Cricetulus griseus: one gene and its partner. The protein of the gene in region 1 binds, or shares a complex with, the protein of each later gene. Links are inferred from orthologs where the notes say so. Each region holds a gene or a part of one and is shown on either strand. Other genes may lie near its edges.

What was found. Proteins that work in one complex are often made in the same cells at the same time.
Region 2: Spag5 (region 1) and Knstrn share a complex: the UniProt entries of both Homo sapiens proteins name them as parts of the astrin (SPAG5)-kinastrin (SKAP) complex. The link is inferred for Cricetulus griseus from reciprocal best matches to the Homo sapiens genes SPAG5 and KNSTRN.

Annotation. Positions count from the first base shown.
Region 1 is NC_048600.1:91,701,087-91,704,745, forward strand, and holds part of Spag5 (sperm-associated antigen 5), read left to right. Parts: intron 1-1,733; coding exon 1,734-1,808; intron 1,809-2,051; coding exon 2,052-2,144; intron 2,145-2,215; coding exon 2,216-2,350; intron 2,351-2,515; coding exon 2,516-2,635; intron 2,636-3,080; coding exon 3,081-3,173; intron 3,174-3,259; coding exon 3,260-3,373; intron 3,374-3,632; coding exon 3,633-3,659. UniProt on the Homo sapiens protein: Essential component of the mitotic spindle required for normal chromosome segregation and progression into anaphase. Required for chromosome alignment, normal timing of sister chromatid segregation, and maintenance of spindle pole architecture.
Region 2 is NC_048599.1:59,675,599-59,679,800, reverse strand, and holds the start of Knstrn (small kinetochore-associated protein), read left to right. Parts: upstream 1-1,254; coding exon 1,255-1,463; intron 1,464-1,564; coding exon 1,565-1,656; intron 1,657-4,202. UniProt on the Homo sapiens protein: Essential component of the mitotic spindle required for faithful chromosome segregation and progression into anaphase.

The DNA.
Region 1 (3,659 bases):
GCACTGTGTCTGGTGTATGAGGAGGCCAGAAGAGGGCATCAGATCCTCTGGAACTATACAGTTAGAATAGTTATGAGTTGTAATGTGGGTGCTAGAAACCAAACTTGGGTCCTTTAGAAGAGCAGCCAGTACTTGTAACTGCTGAGCCATTTCTCTAGCCACAATTTTGTTTTATTTTGCTTTTCAAGACAGGGTTTCTCTGTGTATTTTTAGCTGTCCTGGAACTCACTCTGTACCTGCCTCTGCCTCCCTAGTGCTGGGATTAATGGTGTGCACCACCACTGCCTGGCTTTGAGCCACAACTTTTTTTTTTTTTTTTTTTTTTTTTTTTTTTTTTATGCATACACATTCTGCTTCCATGTATGTCTGCATGTCAGAAGAGGGCACCAGATCTCATTACAGATGGTTGTGGGCCACCATGTGGTTGCTGGGAATTGAACTCAGGACCTCTGGAAGAGCAGTCAGTGCTCTTAACCTGTGAGCCATCTCTCCAGCCTCCTAGCCACAATTTTTAAAGAAAAAAATCTTTATTTTGTGTGTATGTTTTGCTTGCATGTATGTATATGTACCACATGTGCATCTGGTGCCCATGGGGGCCAGAAGAGGGGGCCAGATGCCCTGGACCTGGAATCATGGATGGCTGTAATCATGGATGGTTGTAAGCCTCCAAGGGCATGTTAGAAACTGAACTCCTGCTTTCTTAGCTGCCGAACCGTCTTTCTGACTCCTGCCTTATTTTATATTTTAGCTAATATACCCTGGTTTTATTATGGCTTTTTGGGGGGCGTTTGTTTGTTTTTTGAGACAGGGTTTCTTCTCTATGTATCCCTGTCTGTCCTGGCACTCACTCTGTAGACTAGGCTGGCCTCAAATTCACATGTGTGTGTGTGTATGCATGCACTGTATGTGTGGAGGTCACAGTATTTATGGTGTCAGTCCTCAGGCATCTTTCATATTTTTCTTTAAGATATTCCAGTTTTCACATTGGTCTGGAACTTTGTCATATAGGCTAGACCCACTGCCTCTTGAGCTTTCAGAGATCTACCAGTTTCCATCACTGAGATTAAAGGCACACCATTGCATCCCTTGCCAACCAAAGAGTTTCTGTGTGTAACAGTCCTGGCTGTCCTGGAACTTGCTTTGTAGATCAGACTGGCCTCAAACCTTCAGAGATCCATCTGCCTCTGCTTCCCAAGCTCTGGGATTAAAGGTGTGTGCCACCACCACTCGGCTTGCATCCTGCTTTAAAAAGAAAGATTTATTTATCATTTATGTGTATGTGTGTGTGCTTGAGTATGTGTACAGTACACCATATGTCTACATGTGTCTGCAGAGGTCAGAATCAAGCATCTGGTCATCTGGATCTGGAGACACAGGCAGTTGTGAGCCACTTGGTTTCAGTGCTTGGTACCAAGCCAAGTCCTAGGGACTGGACCTGTGTCTTCTATAACAGCATCAAGAGCAGCTCTCAACCACTGAGCCATCTCTCTAGCCCCACTCCCAGCTTTTTACATGGACTTTTTACAAGAGTAGTCAAGCTCAGGCCCTTATGTTTGGAAAGCAAGCACAATTAACATTATCGCCAGCTCCCCCTAGGTTTTTCTTTCTCTCTTGGCTTCATCTGATTGTGAGCCTAATTTTTCCATCTCATATGAAAGTCACTGGCAGGATGGAGATTAGAGGCTGCTGGTGTATGTTATCCAGCTAAAAAGAGCAATTATTTCTTTGGCTAGGTCACTAAGACACCTAAACATCTTCAGGACAGCAAAGAGATTAGACAGGCTCTGCTGCAAGCCAGGAGTGTCATGGTAAGTGTTGGTTGAGTTTATACCACTGGGGGCCCTTGTGAAGTTAAAAGATGGAGGATCCTGGGTAGTTAGTAGATGGTGAGCCATAGCTGTGGCAGTGAAGGGAAGATCTCAAACCTCTGTCAAGAATGTCTCATTATTAAGAACTTGGAACTGGGGGATCAGTAGCTTTTTCCCTGCAATGTCTCTTCATCTTACTTAATGACTATCTTTGATCTAACCTTGCTATCTTTTCTTCTACAGCAATCATGGATGTTAGTCTCTAGAGAACTGATATCTTTGCTTCACCTGTCCCTGACACACATGAATGAAGACAGAATGACAGTGAGTCAGGAGGTAAGCATCGTGTAGGTGACCATAAGCTAAGAACAAGGCACAAAACATAGCATCTCGTTCTTCTTTTGTAGTCTCGGCGTGCAGAAACCCTGGTTTCCTCCTGTTCTCATGTACTGAAGAAACTGAGGGCAAAGCTCCAGAGCCTCAGAACAGAAAGGGAGGAGGCAAAGCACAGAGAGGAGATGGCCCTTCACGGCAAAGATGCGGTAAGGTGGCTGGCAACTTCTGGATGCGGAAGGACTCCAAGGTTCTGTAGGAATGACTTGAGACAGAAGAGACAGAATTAAGAGCTACTGGGGACTTTATAGTTATGGTCTTCTGTGCTGTTTTCTTGTTACACACCAAGTCCTTGCAACATTTTCCCTAAACAGGCAGAGGCAGTACTGGAGGCTTTCCGTGCACATGCTAGCCAGCGCATCAGCCAACTGGAACAGGATTTTACATCTATGCAAGAGTTCAGAGGCCTTCTACAGGAAGCCCAGACCCAACTGGTAATGTCATCTCCTTTTTGTCTGTTTGACTTGTCTATCCATCTATATCTATCTATCTATCTATCTATCTATCTATCTATCTATCTATCTATTTTTTTTGAGACAGGGTTTCTCTGTGTAGCCCTGGCTGTCCTGGAACTAGCTCTGTAGACCAGGCTAACCTGCTTTTGCCTCCTGGAGTGCTGGGATTAGGGGCATGAGCCACAACCACCCAGCTGTCATTTCCTTTTTTTTGAGACAGTCTCTTACTATATAGTTGAGAAATTGCTATGTAGACCAGGCTCGCATTGAACTCACAGAGGTCTGCCTATCTCTGATTCCTGAGTGCTGGGATTGATTAGAGGTGTGCAACACCACTCCCAACTCAACTGGTAATTTAAGGGCATTTTTTGTTTTGGGAGCTCATGACACTGACAAGATGCCTCCATTAATCCTTCTGTTCCAGATAGGGCTTCACACAGAGCAAGAGGAGCTGGCTCAGCAGACATTGAGTCTGACTTCTGCTTTGCAGCAGGACTGGACATCAATCCAACAGGATGTGAGTATTTGGGGCCATCACAGCCACTCCCTTAGAGGCAGTTTCCCATCCTTGAGTGTGCTCTACTGATCCAATTACTTTGGTAGTGTGGAACATGGGCAGCTTTGCTGAGTCGGTCTCGAGAACTCACAGAGAAACTCACAACCAAGAGCCGGCAGGCCCTTCAGGAACGTGATGCTGCAATCAAGGAAAAGAAGCAGGTAACTTGGAGGGGGGGGCACTACTTAGGCCTGCTTTCACTTTGCTTGGCTGTAAGATGTCAGGAGCTCAGTTGTTTCCTTTGGTCCCAGCACCTCCCCTTAGTAATTTGTCTTGTCTCTATTTGTTCCTGGGGGTCAGCTTCATTTTCTGCATACTGCTGTTCTGGAAGTTTGCACTGTTGTCCATAAAGAAAAACTGCACTGAGTCCTGGAGTTCTTGACTCAGGAGGAACTGTAGGAAGGAAACTGTCTTTTCTAGGTTTTGAAGGAACTTGAACAAGTGTCT
Region 2 (4,202 bases), on another chromosome or scaffold:
AATAAAGAGCTGGCTGGTTTATAGCAGGAAGAGGTTGGGCAAGAAAGTCAGACTAGGAGGACGCTGGGAAGGAAAGTGAAGTCTTGAAAGATGCCATGAGATGCAGAGCAAGCAGGATGGGAAATGGGAAATATGCAGGTGAGTTAAACAAGCCGAGCTAGGGGCAGCTGAGTGGTGGTGGTGCTCACCTTTAATCCCAGCACTCGGGAGGCAGATGCAGGTGGATCTCTGTGAGTTCGAGGCCAGCCTGGTCTTCAAAGAGAGTTCCAGGACACTCTCCAAACCTACAGAGAAACCCTGTCTCAAAAAAAAACAAAAAAGCAAAAACAAAAACAAAAAACCTGAGCCTAGTGGCAGCACATAGATTAATAGAAATGGGCTAATTTGTTGTAAGAGCTAGCTTAAAATAAGCCTAAACTAATGGCTGAGCATTTACAATTAATATTAAGTCTCTGTGTGGTTATTTCTTGAGCAGCTGGCAGGACAGAAAAGTCCACCTATCCTAAATCTTATTTATTGAGACAAGATTTTACTGGACTATTGTAGCTCTGCCTGGCCTGGAGTTCACCATGTAGCCCAGGCTAACCTCGAAGACATAGCAGTTCCCGAGAGGCAGCCCTCCTGAGTGATGGAATTATGGTTGTGAACCACCAGGGCCTCAATCTTCCCAATTTAAACTGTTTTCCTCAATTTAAAACTCTTCCTGGCTTTTCTCTCTTATAGCATTTTGTGGCTTTCCAAGGATGGTAAGTATGTATTTGGAATTTTTGTGTTTAGTGTCTTTCCTAGAGTGTGAACTCCAAGATGGTAGAGCTAAAGTCAGTTTTGGTATTTACTTCCCCTAACCCATCCACCCTCTTAGTGTCCAGCATACCTGCTGCTCCAATGTGTGTTTTTTAACGAAAGACTGAAAACTCTGCTTTGTTTTGTATGAATAACTTTAACTTCTAATTAAATCCGGATGCGGGTTTGTTAGGTATTTCAGCCCACTGGTGTCCTTCAAGAAGGTTCTGCCATACTACACCAGGTATCTGGTAGTTTTTATTCAGGTCATATGTACTCCTAGTAGGATCTTTTTAACAATCAAAGACAAATAAAGAGGATTGTGACTTGGACGCTAAGAAAGATCACGTTTCTGCCTCCACCCAGAAATGTGACACAGTGGCTCACTAGCCCCATTCAAGCCTGCCAAGTGCATCCCTGGCCTGCCGTGACCCGCAGGTTCGGGCAGGCGGCTCTAAACTTCCGTACAGCATGGCGGCTTCCGAGGCCGTGGAGCAGGAGAAAGTCTTCCGTACAACAGGGCCGCCTACTGACTCGGAGCCACGCCCCCTCCCGCCCAGCTCCCGGAAGTTTCCTTTTGAAAGCGTGGCGGCAAGCTCTGCCCAGAGCCGGGCGGTTGCTGCCGAGCATCTTTTGAAAGGGGAAGAAGAGGACTGCGGGCGGGAGCAGCTGGAGCTTGGGTTCGGCTCTGCGGGCCCGGGGCTGGGCTGCGTGTGGGCGGTCGGGCCGGCTGGCGTGGCGTTACCCCGGCGCTGCTAATAATCCACCTTGCACCTTCCAGGGCCCAGTCAAGCCGCCCGGCTACGATGGCCAGTGCTAAGACGGTGTGCGACACGCAGCCCCATTCGTTGCCGAGCGGCGGCCTGGCCACAGGTGGGTGTCCACACCGCCACCGGCCGGGGCTCCGTGGACTATACCAGGAGTAGAGGATTGAAATCTGTGTATGTTGGGACGGCGTTCGGTTAGCTCTGACGCCTGCCTGCTCCTCACCCCAAACCGGGCTGTGTATGCTTATGACGGACGAGTCCCTGTTCCTACCCCTGACCCCACCTCCTCCTGTGTTTTCCAGTTAGACCCAAATTGTTGTTTAGGAATAGCTTTTTTGTGTGATATAGTGGTGGTGGGGAAACTCGCTTTATAGGCCAGCTGGCCTCGAACTCACGGAGATCCTGAGTGCTGGAATTAAAGGCGTGTGCCACCATGCCCAAGTGCCTGGCCTGACTTTTCTTTTTAAACTAGGTTTTCAATATGTAGCTCTGCCTAACATTAATTTTGCCGGAATCTTCCTGCTTCAGCTCCTGCATGCTGAGATTGTAGGCTCAAAGCCACCACACCTGCCTCTCTAGAACTCTGTTTGAAAGAATTACTTTTTTAAACGGGGAGTTGGGGGGCAGGGCGCTTGTGCACATAAATATAGGTGCCCTAGGGAGGTCAGGGGACTTGATCCCCTACAGCTGGAGTTAAAGGCAGTTGTGAGCCACCTGATGTGAGTCATGGAATCAAACTTCAGTCCTCTGGAAGAGTAGTTCTCCCTCTTAACTGCTGAGCCATCTCTTCAGCCCTAGAAATCACTTTTTATGCAATTATCCTTTTTATTTCTAAATTAAGGTTGGTTGTCATGCAGCTGTGGGTTTGTTGTCAGATAAGAATGAACCCTTTGAGGAGTAGGATAGTGGGGAGAAAGCCTCAGGATGCCTTGTTCACATTAGCAGGTGCCCAGTGGCTCTCCCTGTCACTCACATATATGTTGAAAAGAGTGAGAGAGAAGAACCCATTACTGAGAACCTTGACAGAAGGGAGATGTGACCGAAAACAATTTGTAGTTGCGTTTCCATCTTGGTCGGTGTTGATTGTCTTGTGGTTGAAAGTCATCTGATGGGGTCTGTAGTGGTCGTGCTGCTTAATGTAAAGATTATAGCACAGAAGATGGCCCTGGCACCCTGAAGCTCTTTTGTGGAATTTTGGAGCAGCCTTTACCATCGCTTTCCAAAAATTCCATGCAGCTGGTTGAAGAGCAGTGGCAGGCAGGATGGGTCTCTAAGGTAAGATAGGCTTTTCTATCAGGATTAAAGGGTTGTTCTCTTTGCCATTTTCCTCAAAATATCTTGTCAGCAGAGGCACTGCTTAGGGAGTGGAGGCAGGATGCGCAGACCTCTGCAGCCTTGTCCCTCACAGTGTTCTGGATAGTTGGCAGTGACCAGTCTTCCTAGACAAACCCCAGGTTTCATCTCTCCACTTGTAAGACCTGTCCCAGCTTTATGATCACATGAACTGCAACATTTTAAGGTTTTTAGGCGGTCTGCACCTACAAAGGAAGAGTGAGTCTGGGTGTGGTGTGCCCCTATATGAATGCATGTTCAAGGCCAACCTGGTCTATATAGTGAGTTGCAGGCCAGGGCTGAACAGTAAGATCTTTCTGGAAGGGGTTTGAATCAACAAGTTTGACAAGTGTTCTTTACATCAGCCATCCAGTTCTCCTTAGTGTCTTCTTTCTAGAAGATGATTGTTGTTAAATTCTGACTTTTTCCTACAGTGCAATCCTCAGGGCTCAGCAGAAAGAGATTGTTGGAGCTTATTGCAATTAATGAAAAAAAAAATTTTTTTTCCGAGACAGGGTTTCTCTGTGGCTTTGGATGCTGTCCTGGAACTAGCTCTTGTAGACCAGGCTGGTCTGGAACTCACAGAGATTCACCTGCCTCTGCCTCCCGAGTGCTGGGACTAAAGGTGTGTGCCACCACCGCCTGGCAAATGTTTTTTTTCTTTTGTTTTTTTTGTTTTGTTTTTCAATTTACTATGAACTCTCTTACATGGGCTAGATATATAATTGTATTTAACTTAATACTATTTGAGATAAGACAAGATAATGACACAAAATAACTTTTCTAAAAGATACCTCCAAAGATCCCATTTAATATTTGCATAGCATTATGAATATTGAAACTAGAGATCTGGTGCCCTGTAAATTGTACCTATAAACCAAAATGTGTCAACCTTAGAAATTATATATTTACTCCAAATTATTGTGCAGCAAGTTATTTGAATAAAATTTTTATTAAATACAAAGTACCCTGCAATATGATCCAGCACTTTATACCTCATTTCTTCAACTTAATTATTTAATTAGTATAGCCATTTTACAGTGAACAATGTGAAGTTAATATATTCTAGGAAACCCTGAGCTGGAAAGAAATAGAAAAGCTTGGGGGTGGGGCATGACAGGTGCTGTGATGTGTAAATACTAATATAACATGTATGCTAAATGACATGTATGGTGGGGGCGGATGGGTTACCCAGCCTGGCCAGGTAGGGAGATGAACAGGAATACCAGATAGGAACCTCTTAAGTTTAATAAGGGGTCATCCAAGTAAAAGTGCTATAGAAGGGCAAGAGCCTGGCACAGGGAAGAGGAGAGGAAATTG